Linked DNA regions of Drosophila melanogaster. Changing the gene in region 4 together with the main gene of any one other region gives a genetic interaction. Each region holds a gene or a part of one and is shown on either strand. Other genes may lie near its edges.

Region 1 (7,090 bases), on a different chromosome or scaffold from region 4:
TTTAGTATTCTGCCACCCACATAAGGGTTAACTCGCTTGACTATTTCCACGAATGTACGCCTGGTCCCACCAAAGGCCACGCCAAGTTATTATTTTCGCCATTTCGCCGGTGTTCGCTACGCAGCTTCTCGTCAGTTCTAATTGGAATACAACTGCAGATCCTTGCAAATTCATCAGCAGCAAAAGAAGGTGAGTAACGCCTGATTGTTGCTAAAAACGTTCATTTAAACGGGGCTTTGCTATTATTCGCAAATTCTCTTCTCCCGTTCGCCGGCTGAAAGTGTCTGCGGAATTAACGGTTATTGGTGAGGGGTGGGTGGTGCTGTCACGAATTTGAGCGTGTGTGTGTGATGCAGGCTGTGGGTGTTTGTACACACACAACAACAACAACAGCGAAGAGAGCCAAAAAGACAAGAGACAGCTGTGTGATGGCTATTTTTGTGTGATTCATGTTGCTTGTAAAATTAAATCTACATGGTGTATTTTTAACGATGATTTCATATCCGATTCCATGGCATAAAGACACAACTAATTCATTGCCAGCAAGTGTATGCAAATTAACCCTTAGCAGCTCCCATTGCGATTGTTAACCCCCGATAAAAAAAAGTAACTACTCAGCTGTTGTGGCCATTTTTTGTTTTTGTTTCGCTGACTCACAGACACATAGTTGATATGCATATGTATGTATGCATGTATGTAGTTTACGCAAGAGCAAACACGTTTGCTTGTATTCGTGCGCGAATGAGTCAAAAAGTTGGCCAAAACGCTTTTATCAGCGAATCGCGATTGAAAATCGGCAGATATTACCACTCACTCGATTTCGGTGGAAGAAAATAACACCTCGCCTTATAAGGTGGGCGATTTTTCTTCTACCATTACGAACACCCCCCACCCCTGGTAATTCGAGCTCACTCACACTCTCGCAGCGGGAATAACGGTTCCTCAGCTGCAGACATTTAATCTTGGTTTCTAGTTTTTCTTCCCCATTTCTTCTTTGCTTTCTGCACGCAACAAACGCATCTGCCGCAGAAAACGCATCAAGACTGCAAGGAGAACTAGTATCGCCAGGCGAAAGTTGAATCTCGGCTTACTTGTCCTCGGCGGCTTAGCCCCTCCCTCCAATCCAACGGCTACTGATGCATTTCCCACTCTAATTGCCAGCCATTTGTTTAAAGCTACTTAAAAACAAAAACAACGTTGCCGGTGCAATAAACCCATTGCACTAAGGCCAAAACAAAAACTGGCAAGCAAACGATATGGGAGTTTCAGTTACGTCGACGTTTTTATACTCTTCTGCGGCAGATTACTTCACAAAAAGCTGAACATTTTAAAACTGTTTTTATAGCCGGCTAAGATATGATCATTGCATCTCTCTACTCTCTATGGCTTACAAACGTTATGGTAATGCTCAAAATGGAATCATAGTTTCATTACCGATCATTCCTGGAAACTTTCCAAATAGTAAAGATAACTCGGTGTTGTCACAACTAATTGATAGGCGAACCCTGCCTTACAGGGCTGATAAAACTATGGGATCGCCGTGGTTTTCCCTCACTTAAGTCGCGCCACCCGTGGCGAGAAGGGTATCACGAAATCACAGTGGTGTCTGCGCAACTCTCTCGGAGAGTTTTCCATTTTCCGCCTGGACCGTAAGCTTTCTCTGCTGCAAAAGTGCAAGACATCGCCGGAGCTTGCACAAAATCCTGCATGTCAGGCCAAAAGCGGTTATTAATGAAACACATTTCATTGCCAGTCGGTGGCTGGCCCCAAATGGTCAAAAGCAGCGCGGAGTAGCCCAACAAGGCGGCGAAACTCAGCAGTTAACAGCGCGGAGCTCTCCTAACAGAGTCCTGTTGAGACCTTCGAGTTCGAGTTCGAAATCGAATCGAATCCCCGAGTGCGTGGGCGTGCGCTTCGTTTAGGGTGTGTTCTGTTCTCCGTGTGTAATCGCATTTGTGTGCCATTTGGTTCTGTGCTTGGTCGGCAGTCACTTGACCCAGTTGAAGGCGCGGACAACTCGGAGGACCTTATTAATGTGCCACTAAATTTGGGCCATACACTGAATATATGTACACAGTGAGCAAGGAGTGGCCACGTTCGTTGGAAACCCGTTGAGTGTCTTATATGGCTGCTGCTGTTACTGCTTCTACTGATTCGATTTGGTTTGGTGTGCCGTCAGTGTTGTGACCGCCGCTTGAGCTTCACGGGCATCCGCAGTCGAGCCACGGAACTTACATAATGTGCTTGATTCGTACCTAGAGTGTTGAGCACCGGAAAAGCCCAGCCACACGCCTGCAAAATGTTCTCCTGCTGCCGATCGAACCCCAAGGCGGGCAAGAAGGAGAAGGAAAAGCGGAACGCAGAGGAGGAGAACGGCGGACAGGTCACCGAAAAGGAGGAACCCCAGCTGAACGGCAAGCCAGGAACTCCGAAGGAGGAGCCAGAGCCTGTGAAACCAGAAAAGGAGCTCTTGGAAGCGCATAATCCCGAGGATGTGCCCACAAGCACCCAGCCAAACACTGGTACTGACGCAACGCTAAGTATTTACCCACCACCCCATCTATTCGCGTTCTCCGGCCTTCGAGCTCAACAGCTGTCTCGGCTTTTGTCTGCTCTCCGGAACGAAGGCCCCTATCCGGCCGGCTCTCACTCACTGCAATGCCACTGCAGCTGACCACCACTTCTGATCTTTCCTTTCATTTCAATCCGGGCACTTCAAGCTGCCTTGAGTGTCCTTTTCTATTTACTTATGAGTTGTCTTCACTGTGCTTTCTCTTCGGTTTATTTCTGTGAATTTTATACATATGAATATCAAGGAATTGCGCCGATTCTCAGTTGATTAATGAGGAATAGCTAATGACATTGCATACACACTTTTTGTTGAGCACTTAGATCGTGCTCATCCATCAAAGTGAACGTATAGTATATAGTAGTGACGAATATAGAAACTAAAATGAAGGTCAATAATTTAGACAGAAAATTCAAGATTCTATAGATTCTATAATAATAAGGTGAGCAGTAAAAACTAACTACTCAATCTGCCAGTGACCATGGTAAATGCTTTTAAATGCGATAAATAAACATAATGAAGACAGGAAGCGAGGTGAGCAGAGAGTGAAGTGAAGTAATCAACTTAAGTATCGGCGCTTTCCTTGATGATCGTCTTGGTAATTCGTCGCTTCATGTAGAGTAATCTTAAGCAACACTTCCACAGCCCAACCAACTCAGGCTGAAGCGGCTAGCAAATCATCACCAGCAAATCCAGCACTAGCACCCAAAGAACCGGAGCCACTGGCCCGCTCAACGCACTCTTCCACATCCACGGCACCACCTGCTTCGATGACCAGCGGCGACGCGGAGGAGGCGGACGAAGTGGTGGTGGTGGCGACGGTCACGCCGACCACACCGCCTCCTCAGCCGCCGCCCACCAAGAGCTGCCTGTCCAGGCACAACTCAACGCATCAGTCGATCAAGAAGAAGGTGAATATCAGCAACCGGGCGGAGATCATCGAGCCGGATCCACTGCCACTGCTCCTGCTGGCCAGCCAGAATCAGGGCTCCTTGCTGGACGACGACGAGGTGTTCTCCGACTCACTGCCGCCACCCAAGCGGGAGAGCATGTGTGCACCCTACATCGAGGGGGATGTCGTCTCGGAAACACTCTTCTTTGCCCACGGATTACCCTCGTGGTTCGACGACGAGCGCCTGAACGACATGTATGCTTACCCAAGATCCTGTTTTGGTTTCACGCCCAAAATATCCATATAGTTAAGCTGAAACCAGAACAGGTCGACCCCTGCATTCCCAGCCCCGCTTTGAATTGCCAGTACATCGTCTCCTCTGTCCTCGTTCCATGTCCAGCGGCTGCATCGAGCCCCCGGTCACGCCGGTGGGACGCGACGAGCTGGAGCTGAAGCGCCAGCGTCTCTACACGGAGCTCCTGCGGGCCGCCCATGCGGCTGTGGAGCATAGCGTGGCCGTGCGGGGTATGCGAGCTTCGATAGAGTCCGATTCTTTTGCTTTTTTTTTTCGATCTCAGCAGTTATTTAAGCGGATGCTTGACTTTCTGTGTTCTTTATGTGTTCGTTTTCGCTGTGAAGAAGTTTTGAGAGTCTAGCGATTCACGTAACTTCCTGATGGCCAATAAGTTCGCAAGTCAAGTGCTTCCGTTTAAAGGTTCAACTTAGTTCTTCTCTCTTATGATTTTTCGTTGTCTTGTGCCGTTTTTGCATGTGGATTATTACTTTCACTCGTTGGGATTAGCTCTTTTTGCATATTGAACTTTATAAGTATTAAGCGCACCAGTTCATCATCATACACAAGCTCGTGATGAGGTATTCCTCTCGAGACGCCTTAGTTTATATCGCCTTTTTTGTCAGGTATTGTGAGTGCACGATTCACTGGGGTTTATCACGCTGAAGCATCATCTCACTCAAGTTATTTTCTTTATAAAACTCAGTGTTATTTGAATAATTCGAGATAATTGCCAAAACGAACTAAACATTTGCCGTTCTCCTCCGCGTCATTTTGGTTCAGATAACGAGCCGGAAGCCAAGCCCTCGGCCGCCGTCGACCACTTGGAGAGCATTTGCGAGCGACTGGAGACCCTCGTCGACCGATTGGAACGGACTCTAACAGCGCCACAGCCGATAGAACTGCCCACGCCCACACTCCCGCCTCCGCCAGCCGAAGAAGAAGAAGCTCTTCCAGTTTTTGAAAAAGCAGAGACACCACCTCCACCTCCCTCGCCGCCCAGCAGCAACATGAGTGTCGCCGGATTCGAGGACATTGTGGCGGGTCCGCTGAGCCAATACCTAACTCTCTCCGCCAAAATTGGCGGCGATGTGGCGCAGCATGCGGAGCTCGTGAAGAGCGCCTTTGGGTGAGTCAGTCTGGATGAGTCATCTATGGTAAAAGTGTAATAATGCCATCGTTCAATTCCGCAACAGCTCCCAACTGCAGTACGTGACGCTGGCCACCCAGATCGCCCAGCCGGCGCAGCCCAAGCAGGCGGAGCTTCTGAAGCCGACCTCGACGCAGATCAGCGCCATCCAGGACTTCCGCGAGAAGCACCGCTCCTCGCCCTTCTTCAACCACCTGTCGGCCATCAGCGAAAGCATTCCCGCCTTGGGCTGGGTGTGCGTGGAGAAGACCCCGGGTCCCTATGTCAAGGAGATGAACGACGCCGGCCAGTTCTACACGAACCGCGTGCTCAAGGAGTGGAAGGAGAAGGATGTTACGCATGTGGAGTGGGCCCGCGCCTGGGTGCAGACGCTCACCGAACTGCAGGCCTACATCCGGCAGTACCACACCACGGGCTTGGTGTGGTCCGGCAAGGGAGCGGCCCCCGCCGGAGGTGCCCCGCCACCACCGCCACCCGGTGGTCTGCCCCCACCGCCGCCCATGCTGGATCTGAGTGCCCTCAAGCTGGATAGCGCCGGAGATGATCGCAGCGCCCTCTTCGCCCAGATCAACCAGGGTGCCGACATCACCAAGGGTGAGCAGCAACTGCAAAAATGGTTAAGTGCTCCTATAGTAAGAAAATGTATCTTTTGATAAACCCGCAGGCTTGAAGAAGGTCACTGGCGACATGCAGACCCATAAAAATCCATCTCTACGCACTGGACCGGCTCCGTTCAAATCGCCAGCCCAGTCGGGCGGCAGCAAGGCCGTTGCTGCTCCATCAGCTGCGCAAGCCAAGGCGCCCGTTTTCGAGCGCGACGGAAAGAAGTGGATCATCGAGTACCAGAAGAACAACACCGGGCTGTTGGTGGAGAACGCCGAGATGAACAACGTGGTGTATGTGTTCAAGTGTGAGGGATCCACTCTGACCGTCAAGGGCAAGGTGAACAACATCGTCTTCGACTCCTGCAAGAAGTGCTCCCTGCTGTTCGATTCCGTGGTGGCCTCCGTGGAGTTCGTCAACTGCCAGAGCGTGCAGATGCAGGTGCTCGGCTCGGTGCCGACGGTATCGATCGACAAGACCGACGGCTGCCAGATGTATCTGTCCAAGGACTCGCTGGGCGTGGAGATCGTCAACTCCAAGTCCTCGGAGATGAACATCCTGTTGCCCGACGACAGCGGCGATTATGTGAGTTCAAAAATTTGTCTCTTGTCTTCAGTCATTTATTTATTTTTTTTGTGATTTCCAGACCGAGTTGGCTTTACCGGAGCAGTATAAGACCACGATTGCCGGCAAGACCCTGAAGACTGTGTGCGTGGACAGCCTCGGCTAAGGCGGTTCTCCTCCTCGGGGATCCTGTTCGTTGCTTTTCCAACTGTCGTCAGCAGCAATCATAATTGTATTTAATCTAAGTGCAAAGTTTTCGTAATTCAAAGATTTTTAGATCAAACATTTCGTATTGATGATGTTGCCAAACATTGCTGTCCTGGCTCGTGGAAAGTATTTATATAATTTATTTCGATGGAAAAGCGATGGCCACAAACCGAACCCAATGTATTTATATCGAGAGTGTGTTGCAATGAGAAACTGAGCATGAAATCCGAACTTTTGAGCAGACTCTTTACTCGATCATCAGATGTAACTCCTTTTTATATTCTATTTAATAAAATTTAAACTTTTTTATCAGATTATTGTGGGAGTATCACAATTTCTGGGGGTGTTTTTCCTTACTTTGTAATCGTTTATTATTGCATTAAATCTAAAACTTCACTTTCGTCCGTTCGTACTTTTATTCTCTATTTAAACAAGGTGCTAGCATTTTTTATCAGATAAAAAAATGAGAACTTGATTTATTGCTACGTACATTTACAATTTCTTTAATGAAGCCGAGCTCAGAATGCAGGGGTCAAGGGTTGGATTGGAGGGGAATGGCTGGTGGCTAATACTAGGACCCTAGATCTTCTTGTACTCGATGCGCTCCACTTTGACCTCGTCGCCGATCAGTTGGTACACGTACGTGACCACCGTGGTGCTCTGAATGTCCATCAGCACGAACGAAGGCACCACATTGGTGTCCAGTGGGTTGAAGGCACCCGTGGCCGATCCCGGATTGATGTAGAATTTGTTGCCGTGCTCGTAGGCCTCGAACTTGTACGTGTGCCCCGTGATCAGGATGTCCACGTCCAG
Region 2 (4,717 bases), on a different chromosome or scaffold from region 4:
TGATGCTGTATCGATTGCCCGCTTGTACGGCATGTCCATCGTGGAACCACTTAATACGGGGACTGGGATTTCCGGTGGCCCGACAGGGTAAAGTAGCAACTGATCCCTTGGGCAGTGTTTGATTGGCAGGTCCGATTTGAATAATCGGAGGTGGACGCTCGTCTAACGAGCTGACTTGCAGGAAAACCCGTACTGTAGAGGAATCGACTACACTGAAAGCGGAACACACATAGTAGCCTTCGTCTTCCTGCCGCACATCCGTAATCTGCAGAGTTCCATCGGCAGCCACATGCTGCCTCCCGTGCGAACTATTTGGGAACATGAGAGTGGATACTCCTTCCTTGGTCCAGAAAACAGATGGCGGTGGGTTTCCGGAGGCCATGCAAGGTAGTTGGACAACACCATTTAGTCCCACTTTCTTGTTACTGGGTCTTTTCGTAAAGTTCGGCGGAGCTTTAATGAAAACAATTGAAGATTAAAACGCGATTCTTTGGTAATGGAACTTAATCTTACCATGGACTATAAGAGAAGCCCTAGCGCTGATCTGACCGACATTGTTGTGTGCCTCGCAGACATAGGTGCCCTCATCGGTGGGCGTTATGTTGGATATCTCTAAACTTTTCTCGTCGTGAAGGATTCGCGCTCTGGACACCGGAATATTGCCCTCCTCCTTTTTCCACAACACTTTCGGCGGCGGATCACCGCCCACTGAGCAGTGGAAAGTGGCTGTCTGGCCGTAGAGCATCACCTGATCCTTGGGCTCCTTCATAAAGTATGGTTTGACCTGGACAATCAGCTTGGCATAGCTGCTCTCGCGGGTGCCTACCAGATTCTGGGCAATGCACTTGTAGTTGCCCTCATCAATGGGCTCCACATTGCTGATCAGCAGGTTGCCACCGTCCACAATTCGAACGCGGGAGCTGGCGCCAAACGACATGGCTTTCAGGTCGTCCAAGGGAACGCCGTCCTAAGAGCACAAAAAGCGGTTTAGACAACTGACTTTCGCAGTCTGGTTTTCGGAACCCACCTTTATCCAAATCAGCGTTGGCTCTGGAATGCCTTTGGGCGGCCCACACTCCAGCAGAGCCGTCTCGCCTTTGGCCACTCGCGTGTCTTTGGGCTCCACGCGAAAATCGTCGCGCAAAACTAGCGAAGAAAAATTGCAAAAATATCAAAAAAGCACATTATAATCGGAGACAAAGCTGGGCGTGTGGGCAGACAAGTTGGAGAGCAGACTAGAGTGGCGGACTAACTTACCAGCTATCTGGAGCGAGGCATGGCGACTAACGGCCTGGCCCACTCGGTTCTTGGCCACGCACCAGTACTCTCCGCCGTCCTGTTCCTTCTTGCCCTGCATTGTCCTGTAGAAGAAGAGGGCGCCGTCCTTGAACTGGACGCGGTGCGATTTCTTTTCGTTGGTGCTGACGGGTTCGCCATCCTGAGAGCGGAAAGAAGAGGGGGTGATTGAGTTACGATTTGGTTCGGTTTCGAAGGCTACACGGAAAAAAACAACTACTCAAAACCACTTATATTTTGTATAATTTTTGAATTCATTTTTGTTTTGATATTTAAAGATAAATAAATATACAATATTGATATGAAAACATTAAGATCAAGTTTTCTTTTGCCAGTGTAATGGTGATTCAAGTTAGAAAAGTATTATTTGGTGGGTACCTTAAACCACTCAATGGTGGGTTCCGGCTTGCCCTCCACTTTGCAGTTGAGCGTGGCGGGTTCATTCTTCTTAACGACCAGATCCGTGGGATGCTCGATGATACGTGGCGATTGGTACTGGCCTGAAAGGAGTAGGAAGGATGTGGATTAGCCACTGGGCCTGGGGAGGATTACCCAGGATGGGTTTACCTCTGACTGCTGGCAGGCCATTGCTGGCCACCAGGACGAGGAGCAGCCAGGCGGGCAGGAGCCACATCCTGCTGCTCCGACTGCGAGATGGGTTATTAGTGGTGCTCGTGCTCCGGGCGATGGCGTGGTTTTCGGGATGCATGGGATGCATTTTATGGTGTTGGTGCTGTTGCAATGACGACTCTACAGATGACCCAATGCAGCGGCGATCATTTTGGCGTTGTTTTTGGGTCCTGCGATGCATGATAGGTGATAGTATGTGGGTTAACTAAATGTGGGCAGCTGTTACATATGTAGGCGTGGCGGCATTATGGCTAGGCATTTATGGGCTTTACTTGCTTTTTGCTTTTTATCTGTCCAAAAACTCGAAATTATTTCTCGCCTGCTCCACTTACGCTTGCATTTCCATGCGATAAGCACACACACACGCACACACTCACGCACACTTGGACACTCACACACCCACACACATGTGTCTATGCTGGTTTTCCATTAATTTTATTTCCGTATTTATCTGCCTTTGTGTTTATCGCTCAGTCTCAGTCGCACCGACCCGAAAATTTACAATCCAAATTCTGATTCGGAGTTTTGATTTCACGTTCTCACACTTTCTTTCTAACGCTTTTTTTGTATCGTTCGCTGATTTGGTTTTTATTTTCCTTTTTATTTTTTGGATTTTATTAATCAGCCGCGCAGTGTAAGTTTTTGTTGGTATTTATTCGACGATTGCTCGCTTTTCGGGGTTGTTTTCTCCATCATCTCTCCTCGCGCACATTTTCCACATTTCCCGAACGAAATTTCTTTTTGGTAAAATTACAAGAACAAGAACTGCCCCGCCACCCCTCTCACTCGCACACACTGCCGTTCTAGCTGCCTCTCGCTCGCACCGCCTGCCGTTCCTGGGACTTCCCCCCGTTGTTGTTGTATCTATATCTATAACAGAGTGTTGTATCTATAACTCCTTGTAATATTTGCTTTACATCCGCAGCAGCTGCACTTTGTAATATCCGAAAACGAGTATCTACTTCAAATGGAAGCTTCGCGGTTGGATCGTACTTTCTTGGGTGCAAACTTACTCCAATTTAACTGTTGGAAATTAACTATTTTCCTGCTCTTTAGTGCGATTCACGGCGCAGCGAAAACTCACAATTGGACGTGGGTCGTGTCTGTGGAAATTTGAGAGCGCAACGCCCGGAATCGATATATCGATATATTTTGGGGTGTACCGAAAAGGAATACTCGAAAATACCAGAGGACATATTTATCAGTTGATCTGGTAGCGCCGCGTAAAGTAACTATTTGAATCTTTAATTGATTTCTATTGTATTGAAATTGAAATCGAAAGATATACCAACTATGTTTTAAGATATTAATAAAATGTAAATATTTAAATTAATGTATGTATTGTGATGTTGAATGGTTTATTAAAAAATTCCGTTTTATTCAGAATATCTATATAATTTGTGTGTGATTGCTTAAATACGTATATATTAATATTCATGTTCACGGTAGAACCAACTGTAAAATACTATAAAAATATATAGATAATTGTTATGGTAGAGAATAGTTCCTACACCAATTTAAGGTGTTTTGTTTAATATAGTTTCCCTGCATTAATCAAATAACTACAGAGTCTAGCAAATTATTCCATTCTGGCCAGGTTCATCTTTCCCCTAGCCAAAGTCCTCGAAAGAACCACGTTGGAGAGGTTGGCTTCGAAGGCAGGCGCTCGGCTGCGTCCTGGATGCAAGTGGAAAGTGGGAGGTGTGGGCGCCGCTGGGCGACGACCAGTCGGCTGGGCACTCTTCACCAGCTTGGGCTGGAGCTGCAGGCGCGACACTCTGTCCACGGACATGCTCTTGGGCCGCCGGGCTAGATAGCTATGGACGTGGCTATTGGAGCCATTGGCAATGTTCAAATTTACCAGGTAGTCCTGCAGCTGCGTCTTTAGCTGGCTGTTCTCCGCCTCCAGGCGACGCTTCTGTTGCTTCAGGCAGGCCACGTCCACGGCCACGTTGTTGACGCGTCGCCAGAAGGACTCCATTTGGGGTACCACTGCCACCTCGTCCTGGTACGTTAAACCAATGTTGAATGAAGAAATTACCTACTGGCATTTTTACTCACCTTAAGAAGATCAGTGGCTGGGTCAGTCAAGGAACCATTACCCTGATCCTCTATATCTCGAATCTCGATAATCTCCTTGGATATTTCCGGCAACTGGAACATCCGCTCCCGCTGGGTTTCCATCTTGGCACAGACCGCAGACAACTGTGCCAGAGTCTCGCCCTTGGCCACAGTTTCCTGGAGGAATTCCAAGGCATGGTAGCTCTCCACGGACATCAGCTTGAACAACTGGTGATCCCTGGCCACCTCCTGTTCCACACAGGTGCGTAGCTCCCTTAGTCGCTCGGTCAACTGCTGTTTGATGGCTTGCCGCTGCTCCAGTTGGCCCTGTTGCTTGATGTAGAACTCCTCGGAGACCAGACGCAAATTGGTCAGCTGGTCTACCAGGTGCTCGATTTCGTGGGTCTGCTGGCTAATCTGGAGGGCTGCCTCCTCATCCCGCTGCTTCAGATCCACGTACTCCGAGTAAAAGCCTTCGATGTGCTGACAGTAGCCCGCCAGAACACCCTGATACTCCTGCCACAGCTTCTCCAATCGAGCTTCACCTCTGGAGGTGATCTGCTCCAGCTGTAGTTGCATCTGGAAGTGGGGTTCAATTTAACATGTTTTCATAAACTTTTAAAATAACCTTTATTGTAAAATATAATCATCGAAGAGCATTGCACGCAATTGTAAAATTAAGATTGATATGTGTCTTGGTTCATTGTGCGTCAGTCACTCTGTAATTTGG
Region 3 (4,631 bases), on a different chromosome or scaffold from region 4:
TTGACAAGCGCACCCTCGGAACGAGCGGAAAAAATGTGTCCAGGAATATGAAAAGGGGTGCGAAATTAGAATAACATGTCACTCATATATTGTATCACGTAATGCGGCTAAATGTGCTCCTGGCCACGGGAAAAAGCCAGTGAACGCCAGGGTGAGGCGACTCGCCCAGGACAACATCAAACAATTGCCACAATTCACGGGCTAAAGAGCGAGGAAATATGACCAGGAAAGTGAAAACACAGAGCGCCACAAATAAGCACGAAAATGGGAACAGGACCTCGCACGTGAGTTTTTCGTACACGGTATAAGTAGGATCCTTCTATAAAATCAACTAGTTTGTTTAGCAAGATAGAAAAAACCACAAGGGTGTCTTAAGGCCACATAGATCTAAAGATCAAAATAAATTATTAAAATGCTTTTCTATAATTTAATTTAACTAACACGGAAATGTCTAACTTTGTCTTACTTTCATAGTATCTTATCAACCTTAATTGATGCATTATTATACGGTACTAAGTGGTCGTGAAGCCACGTGAGTCCATTGTTGTCACACAATTCTTTTCAGCTAGTTACACCCATGTAAGTAAAGTTGTTTTCTTTTTTTTTTAATTACATACCCACCACATAAAGCTTGAAGTTATGTGAGGGAATGCTTTTAATTAAATCTGGCATTAAGTCCTGCGACTTATGACATGCCATGACCTAAAAATTTGTTCAAAGATTTTTCATTCCATTTGCATATGACATGCCCCGACAATTTTTTACGACCGCACTTTTTTTGGGGTCCTTTTTCGGGCTGTCTTGGAGCTGGCGTTGATAAATTTTGCAGCTGATAAGGCGGCTCCCCGTTTTTCCAGGACACTTTTCACTTTTAGGGGTGGCTTTTCTTTCTCGTTTCGAAGATGGCGCAGAGACGAGATTCACGGCAGGACATTTAATTTGTTTGCATTATTTGCGCCTTTTGCGGGGATTTCCATTATCCCTCCCTCATTTTACGCGATTGTTTATTTCTCCAGCCGAAAATGGAAATATGATAAGCCTCTAAGCCACCCCTGGCTTAGTTTTCAAACCAAATCAATCAATTGATGCATTGTGCAGCTGCCCACCGATCTTGGGTAATCTTCTTCTGGGACCTAAAACTGAAACTGTGCCTGATCCTAAAACCTAATTGCATTTTGGGCTGCACTGGTTCTACCTGCGCTTACCTACCTGATCCCCTAAGATCACTTGTTCCCTGGCTTTGAGCTAATGATAATGACTCTTACGGCTACCATTTTGTTGGATTCTATTTCTTCGATTTCAGAATACTTTTTCACAGGAAATCGTGTTTGTTTTGGCTCAAATAATCGCAAACAAGTGCGTTGGTTTTCAATTCATGTTGTGCAGTGTTTAGTTTATCTCGTTTCAAGCGAAGCTCATTAGTAATGTTTAAGTTTTGAAGCACTATCGGTTTCGCAACCATCCCATTTTGAGTTCTTATCTGCAGGTGATATGATGGGAAGCAATTACGGTGAATTACCCCGGGTGATTGGCACATGTGGATGGAATAGGGCAGGGTTTTTGAAAGTACCTCAATTTTACGAGTGCAAAAAGAGCGCGAGTTGCGAAATATGACAGCTTATCGGATCAGTTCGCCGTTGACATCACCTTTCGCACATGAGGCTTTTTTTTTTTTGTGGGTCCCAATGCCTGCTTTCTGGCACGTCGACCAGACATCCAGTCGCCAAAACTGTACTTGCATTCATATTTGTTAAAATACAGATATCGAACTTTATGGTACCCGAATACACAACATAGATAGGGAATTGTACGAAGAGTAAAGTAACAGATAGTGTCATAAAATATGGTGGATGAGTGTAGTGAACTAAAAATTACTGGGCTGACAAACCACGTAGTTCATCTATTCGTACTATTTAATCGTAATATTTATTGAAGTGATATAAACTCATCTAATCTACCGAATTTATACACTGTTTTAGATTATTTCCTCCTGTCAGAAGGCAATTAAGGCGCAGCCCAAGAATTAAAGTTCAATCACATGTTCATAAAATTTTTTTTATATCTTTTATAATCTCTTTAATAATCTATATATGTACACAATTTGATAATGTCTTTCTGTGTAAGCAACTAAGCTTGGATTTCATGGGTCTTTGGTTTAAAATTATAAATTGACAACCTGCACAGCGAAAGATAGAAACTATCTACATTTTTATAAAGCCCTCTTACGGCACTTTGGTGCAAAATATTTATCATTTCAGATTGAAGTTCTCACCTTGACTTGCCAAACTGCTGCCAATCAGCTGGAATATGAGACAACTGCTGAGCAGCCAGTTCCACAAAGTCCTGCTGCTTCTGTTTGTTGTGATGGCCATATTCTGTTTGCTTTTCGCTGATTTGGCTGGAAACCGTCGTTTGCGATCGGAGGTAATTCGAATGGCTCAGGTTTATTTGGACTTTTGCGATTTGTTTACAACATTTTGGCTCTTGATACCCGCCAATCGCCGATTGCGCCTTCTATTTGTATCCTTTGCACCCACACATACACGCGACGCAAACACTCACACGCGACTTTTACTCACTCCACTTTTGTTGTGTATTCTTGGGCGATTATTGCTTTCGATTCTCTTGTTTTACGCTATTCGCATCAATCGTTTACGCGTTTTTGTTTTGCCGGCATTCGCCGCCTATTGTTGTTGTTTCAGGTCTTGTTGTTGCTGTTATTGCACGCTTGCAAGCGGGGCATTTTTACAACAACAGAAAATACTATCAACAAATTGCGCACACACACTCGAGTAAGTAGCGTTGTCTCGCTCTAACCTTCGGCAGGCATCAGGACTTGCAGCTGCAGTTCTATTTAAAACACATTTTCAGCGGCTGTATGTATTATTTGAGTGCCTTTTTCATTTATTTTCGATTTTGGCTGCACTTATTTTAATTTTCTACCTCTTTGCGATGGATTTTACTATTGGCAAACGCGTTTTCTCGCCACTAAAGAGTATACATGCGCGCAACGACCTCGACGACCGAAAAAAAATCCGAAACTGTCGAAAAAATCCCTAGCTGCGCGGGTGATGCGAAAACACATCCGCTATCGATGCTTATCGATGGTCTCACTACTATCGATGACGATGAAATGACTTTCGCACCATGTTATTCTTGCATATTATAAATTCATTATCATTTTACAAAGGGGTTTCCATAAGTAACGTAGTAATCAGTGCTCAGCTTTCTTACTAACGTAATCATAATATATTTTAATGACTGTCATCGACATTGAAAAGCAATCGATACTGGAGTGCACATCACCAAAAACGCGTTAAGGTCAGTTGAGCAATTTATTCCAAATGGCGCGTAATTCAAAAGTTAGGACCAAAGTCAATTACACATCAAAAGCAACAAACATTATTATTTCGAGGACATTTGCAGTTGGGATATTAATCATATGAATTTATATCGGTATTCAAAAGGTTTGCTCCTATATTTTTAAATATTTTAAAATTTCACATATTTTCGGTTTTACTTTACACAAATTTCTTTTTATGAGAGTCACAGGAGATTAATACTTAAAAATTTTAATGGCTTTCGAAATGTACCTCAACTTTCTCCCCGACTGATCTTGTTCATAAGTACGTTATTTCAGAAAAATCCTTTGACAGAAAACTTTATGCTCAAACCAATGGGAAAATCTCCTGTTTGAAATGCATTTTTTGCAGTTGGCCAGTGATTGCCACCCCCGAGCAACCGACGTGCAGACAGGTTGTGGTTAAAAGTTGTGGCTCTAAAAAAATGCATGTGGCAAAGGAACACTCATTTTAAAAGCGCCGACCAGCAACCAGCAGGAACTTTAAAGGCTGAAAAAATGAACATATCACTTTTCGCCTCGGAGAAATGTGAACGCAATAAAAAATCCGACCAAGGCCGACAAATTGTTGGTTGGGCGTGGGGTGGGGGGCGTGGCGTTGAAATGATAAATTTCACATTAAATGCCAGCGCTTAAGCGAAAGCGTCGTAAAAATAAACGACGGGGTGAAAAAGAAGGGGGAGGCATTTTTTTTTGGACTGGCAGGCCGCAAAAATAAGTGAAATGAAATTCCCTTCATTAGCGTATCATCCGTATGCCCACAAAATGTGGGTCAAGTTTCGAGGACTTGGATCAAATTACCAGAACCGGAGATTTTTCGCTGCTAATTGCAGGTTTTTTAAAAGCAGCACACACATTTCCCCACCAGACGCCACTGCAATTTTCAGTTTTAATTAATCCGAGCTACCGAGTCTTTCGAGTATCCGTATCTGTATGTGCATCCGCATCCCTGTATCTGTTATGCCAGCTTGAAGTTGGGCAACTTCTGGGCACCCACAAAACGCGGCGACTGATGGTGATTTGGATTCTGATTCGGATGTTCTTCCCATTCAAAGCTTTTAGGTGCCGACACGAAAAGGCGCTTAAGTGAATTAAGCCTGTGTGTGGTAATATATAAATTAAGGCATGCACTTCGGACATGGAAATTGCTTAAATATATAAAAGGTTCTCTCGTTTAACTTGGCAAATCCATTGTTCATGGCACTAAAGACTTTCACTGCAAATCGCTTCCTAAGAAAGTTGTTAACTTGGGTAGAACTAATAAAGGCAA
Region 4 (4,832 bases):
TACTTAAACATTACTTAAATATTAAAAAAATATATTTTTTCTGTTTGTTATGTGTTTAGATATAATCCCATTGAACTTCTTCATCAATTTTATAATTTAGACTTCGAAAAAAAAATAAAAGAGATATTTTAGCAATTTAAAGAGCACTAAGTTAGTTTATTGGCATCAATAACTTGTTCCGCCACTCCTACTTCTTCCCGGCCTGAGCCTTCTTTTTGTTCGGCTTGGGCACCAGTTTCAGGCGGATCATTTCCTCGAGGAGCGTGGAGCCCAGGTGGCAGGGATTGGCGGTCATACGGACTCCCGCTTTCTCCAGGGCGGCCACCTTGTCCTTGGCCGCTCCCTTGCCACCGGAAATGATGGCGCCGGCGTGACCCATTCGACGACCCGGTGGAGCAGTCTGTCCAGCAATGAAGCCAACTACTGGCTTGGCCTCGCAGCCAGTGTTCTTCTCCTTAAGGAAATCGGCAGCCTCTTCCTCGGCGGATCCGCCAATCTCTCCAATCATGACAATGCCCTTGATCTCCTTGTCGGACAGAAACACTTTGAGGGCGTCTATGAAGCTAGTTCCGTTAAAGGGATCCCCGCCGAGGCCAACGCAAAGAGCCTGACCCAATCCCACGTTGGTGGTCTGATGGACGGACTCGTAGGTCAGGGTTCCCGACCGCGAGACTATGCCCACCACTCCTCGCTTGTGGATATCTCCCGGCATTATTCCGATTTTGCACTGATCCGGCGAGATGATTCCCGGACAGTTGGGTCCCAGCAGGCGGGACTTCTCCTGGCAATTCAGCATTTGCGATATCCGCACCATATCCGCCTGGGGAATACCCTCGGTGATGGCCACAATCAAGCCAATTTCACTCTCGATAGCCGCGCAAATACCCTCGGCGGCGGATGGAGGTGGTATAAAGATCACCGTGGCATCTGGCTTCGCCTTCTCCACAGCTTCTGCCACCGATTTGAATACGGGCTTGCCCAGATGCTCCGTACCTCCCTTTTTGGGATTCACACCGCCAACTATATTGGTTCCGTACTTTATGGACTCCTCCGAGTGGAAAGTGGCCTGCTTGCCGGTGAATCCCTGGACTAGAACCTTTGTTGCCTTGTTGATCTTCAGGTTGCACACCGTCTTGCCATAGTCCGCCTTGCCACGCCTCAAAATTTGGGGCGTTAACGCCCGCAGGAGCATCTTGCTTCCTCGATTTAGTGACATTTTGTGGGAATTAAGTCTTGGATTGCTGGTGGATTTGTTTTTGGGCCAAAAAATTAAACTTTTGGGGCCTGATTTAGAATGGAGTTCTTACCAAAACTGTTGACCGAATGTCAGGTTTCAACAGTCAAATTATCAGGGAGGTTTGGAAAAAGGCCTGCTGTGTTCTTAACAAATCCTTTTCTGGTAATTTACGTACATGCATGTTTAAGTGCATTTTCTTTTATACAACATTGAGGTCCTATAACTCCTAAACCTTGCTTTGTAACTTCATGTTATTAAATTTAAAGAGTTATTATCTGTTATAATATAAATTTGATAGTAACTTGTTAAAGTAAAAATGAAAACAAATTATCTACCCCACTGTGCCTGCGCTCAGCCCTTCAATTAATTCCGATTCGATTTTAATTGAAATCCAATAGAAACTCCTCTTTTATCTCGCTCTCACTCTCTGAGCGCGCGAAACAGCTGAACTGAAACGCCCGCTTTGGCCAGTTGGGCTGCAACCCGTTCCAATAAGATCATCGTTCAAAGAGAGCGAACAAGAATAGCTACGTTACGATCGCGTTTCAGATCGCTTTCTGACTTCGAAGCGTAAAGACTTAAAACGCGTCGGATAAACACCATGATGTTACTGGTTTTTTTCTGCGCGCCGTCGTTGTGAGCCGAGAAGAAAAAGTAACAAAAGAAGCAGCGCAGGAAAATCAAAATTGGCTGCAAGTGCGTGTCCCGAAAGTTTAATAACCAAGAAAAGTTTGTAAATTGAAAAAGGCACTTAAAGTGGTTACCTAAAATGAAAAGATAATGGGAAAGAGCAAAAAAAAAAGCTGACGCAAGTTCAAGGTGTAGAATTTGTGCGCGTGTGTGAGTGTGCCACAAGTTGTTTGAGCAAAAGTGGAGAAATAATATAAATTCCGAAGGAATTTCAACAGCAAGTGCTTGAAATCGCAATTGGTGTGCCAAACTTAAGGTTTTGCCTTGTCTTTAATCGAGTTTTTAGAGGTTTTAACTCTTTTTTTCCAACAAACACACACATTCACGCATTCTTGATTCTTTGACTCACAAATTACCCACGATAGCAACAACAAAAGTGTTGTCTGTTCCAATAGCCACACGTTCCATTTCTGGTTTTCGCTTTTAATGCCGCACTGTTTCGGACGTTTCCAGCGTTCCTCGTTAACCGGTGTTTGCTTTTTGATGAGCGTGAGAGCGGGGAAAGATAAAAAGAGAGAGAGAGAGACTAAGAAATTGATAAAGAAAATGGAAAAAAGTAAATAAAACAATCAAATTGGTAAACAACGCTGCTTGTTAAAATTAAAAATGGCAGGCAAACACAAAAACTCATTAAAAGCAGAGGAAAACCTAACGGTAGTTTCCTGACTCCCGCTCACTTCCTCTCTCTCGCTCATTCTCTTTGCCGTTGCGCATGCGCAAAACATATTTGTTTCTTGGTGGGAAAGTCAACACAAAGTCTAATAAGAAAACAAACATCACAGGTGTCACCTTTAATATTCGACATTCTGCAATTGTGATTTTAGGTCTTTGTAGAATTCTTGGCACACCTTCGATTTCTGGAAATTAACGCGAAATATTACGAAACGAAGCGGTAAACAAAACCAAATGGTGCGAAAGTGGTAAAAAAAAACGAAATGCGGCGATATCAGTTGTCTTACCACGAAGCATACATATCAATCAAACCGAAATAAATAACCCGAATTGTGTCCATGTGATTCAACGATTTTGTAATTCAATTCGATACGATACGACCTTGAAAAGCATAGGTTTTTATGTTGGTGATTTTAAATTTTATCGAAACGAAATCAATTCGCTACTGGGATTAAGCGAATCAAGGATTATACGACTATGGAACCCGGAATTTTAATTGGTAAGATTGTAGATCTTTATATGGGTTTTTAAAGAGAAAATCATTACTGACTTCAAGGCAGATGTTAAAATACAAGATGAGATAAGTCATATTTCTTGTTTGGAAAATCATTAAAAATTCGATCCAATAACAGATAAATCAATTTATATATACAATTTAATGTATGTAGTGTTCTTTCTCTTAAGTTTATTGGTAAATATTCTTAAAAATATTTTGCTTAGTTTGCTTTGTAGCATAAAATTAAGTCAAAAAGTCGTTCAAAAAGTATTCTGTATGCATTTATTCCCACACATGTTCGGAGCTAATTACAGAAAAAATCCACAGATCATCCAACTGCACTCCCTTCTCAAAACTTAACCCCATTGGGGGAAGAGCAATTATTTCGAGGGCTCAGAACTCGTGCCCCCATTTCACATATCTGAAATAATTTCCATGCTTTCTTCGCTCGCAGAAGCGACTTTAAAAACGGAGACAAACAGACGACCACATGTTGCTTGTAGTCACAGAAACATATGCAATCACTGGGAGAAATTTTTCTAATCTACAGAATATTAAAAAGTGTTAAAGAAAAGAAAATAATTATAATTAGAAAGTAAGTAAAGAAGATGAAAAATACATTTGCAATTGAGAAATTAAGCTAGTCAGACAATTTTTCGAAGCCACATTGTATCTCAAGAACAAAGCGATTTAAATTTCAAATCCTAATATAAATCGAACTGAGCTAATTTTTTCGCCCAGTGTCCTGGAACAACAAAGTGATGGCACACACCCCATTCAGAACCACAGATACAGATACATCGCTTTAACTCATTTGGTTAAGCATTTAATGATCGGGCAAATGCAGAGTCGGCCGAGTTCTGAGGGGACAGCTGGAAAATGCGAGTGAGGAGCAGAGGGTGTGGCCTGGTCTGTAGACGGCGGTTGCTAACGCTCCCAAGCCGAATGCTCTGCGTAACCCGCGCTCAGCTAATGAGCACCCAACCGCTGTGGAGGGGGGTTGGGTGGAAAATCGGGGGAGCGGGCTGCGAACGGGTGTAATTGAGACTCGGTTTAGACACCGAACCGCACCAATTTGTGCGAGAAATCTAATATGTGCGGGTTTCCATAAAACCCGGCGGCGAAAATGCCGAGGGTATATTGTATTTCTTATAAATATTAATAATATGAGTTTTAAAATTTGTAGACTTACAAAAACTTCAACGCAAATAAACGATCATTCGATTTTTATAAATAATATATAACTATTTCGACAATCTGTAGTTGATAAACCCCAAGCAAGGGTTTCGAATAAAATTGCTAAGTATTCTATTTCGTTTTTAGATTAAATGTAAAGTATTCAACAGTTTTCGAATTCCAAATTCGGGCTTGGATGGCATTAGGCGTATCCATGAGTGTCGCTGGTTTGTCTGCGGCTTAAAACCGGCAAAGCCACCAGTTCGGATCGAAATCCGCTCGACCAGCTGGGCTTGGAATGCGACAAAATGCGCATTTGCATTTGGCCACATGTGTCGGTTTTATTTGATATGTTTTTGTATTTGAGCTTAGTGGGATCTGGAGCACACATTACCAATACCAGTGCAGCCGGTCTTTTCAAGTAACACGGACACGGAGTCAAAAATGCGCACGCCCGTAAAAAATTACTCCAACTACAGCTCGCAATTTGTTATTCCCGCTATTTTGCTCTTTTTTTTTTTGGCTAATGGGTTTCCATTTGTTTATTGCTTGATTGGATTT

What was found.
Region 1: of Dys (region 4) and capt, changing one enhances a phenotype caused by changing the other (phenotypic enhancement), as found in Drosophila melanogaster (one study listed by BioGRID).
Region 2: of Dys (region 4) and robo1, changing one suppresses a phenotype caused by changing the other (phenotypic suppression), as found in Drosophila melanogaster (2 studies listed by BioGRID).
Region 3: of Dys (region 4) and fra, changing one suppresses a phenotype caused by changing the other (phenotypic suppression), as found in Drosophila melanogaster (one study listed by BioGRID).

Annotation. Positions count from the first base shown.
Region 1 is NT_033779.5:1,151,178-1,158,267, reverse strand, and holds capt (capulet), read left to right. Parts: upstream 1-1,956; 5' UTR 1,957-2,299; coding exon 2,300-2,522; intron 2,523-3,214; coding exon 3,215-3,716; intron 3,717-3,861; coding exon 3,862-3,986; intron 3,987-4,536; coding exon 4,537-4,882; intron 4,883-4,949; coding exon 4,950-5,497; intron 5,498-5,567; coding exon 5,568-6,091; intron 6,092-6,152; coding exon 6,153-6,236; 3' UTR 6,237-6,590; downstream 6,591-7,090. Other genes in the region: Vps29 (vacuolar protein sorting 29), read right to left, coding at 6,857-7,090.
Region 2 is NT_033778.4:22,697,939-22,702,655, forward strand, and holds the start of robo1 (roundabout 1), read right to left. Parts: upstream 3,033-4,717; 5' UTR 2,940-3,032; intron 2,658-2,939; exon of another isoform or gene 2,259-2,657; intron 2,097-2,258; 5' UTR 2,015-2,096; coding exon 1,864-2,014; intron 1,797-1,863; coding exon 1,675-1,796; intron 1,439-1,674; coding exon 1,258-1,438; intron 1,147-1,257; coding exon 1,028-1,146; intron 968-1,027; coding exon 514-967; intron 454-513; coding exon 1-453. Other genes in the region: CG30259 (uncharacterized protein), read right to left, coding at 3,506-3,931, 3,988-4,566.
Region 3 is NT_033778.4:12,527,468-12,532,098, reverse strand, and holds the start of fra (frazzled), read right to left. Parts: upstream 3,047-4,631; 5' UTR 2,373-3,046; coding exon 2,273-2,372; intron 1-2,272.
Region 4 is NT_033777.3:19,461,749-19,466,580, forward strand, and holds the start of Dys (dystrophin), read left to right. Parts: upstream 1-1,784; 5' UTR 1,785-1,891; exon of another isoform or gene 1,892-1,933; intron 1,934-2,751; 5' UTR 2,752-3,076; coding exon 3,077-3,098; intron 3,099-4,832. Other genes in the region: Scsalpha2 (Succinyl-coenzyme A synthetase alpha subunit 2), read right to left, coding at 188-1,216.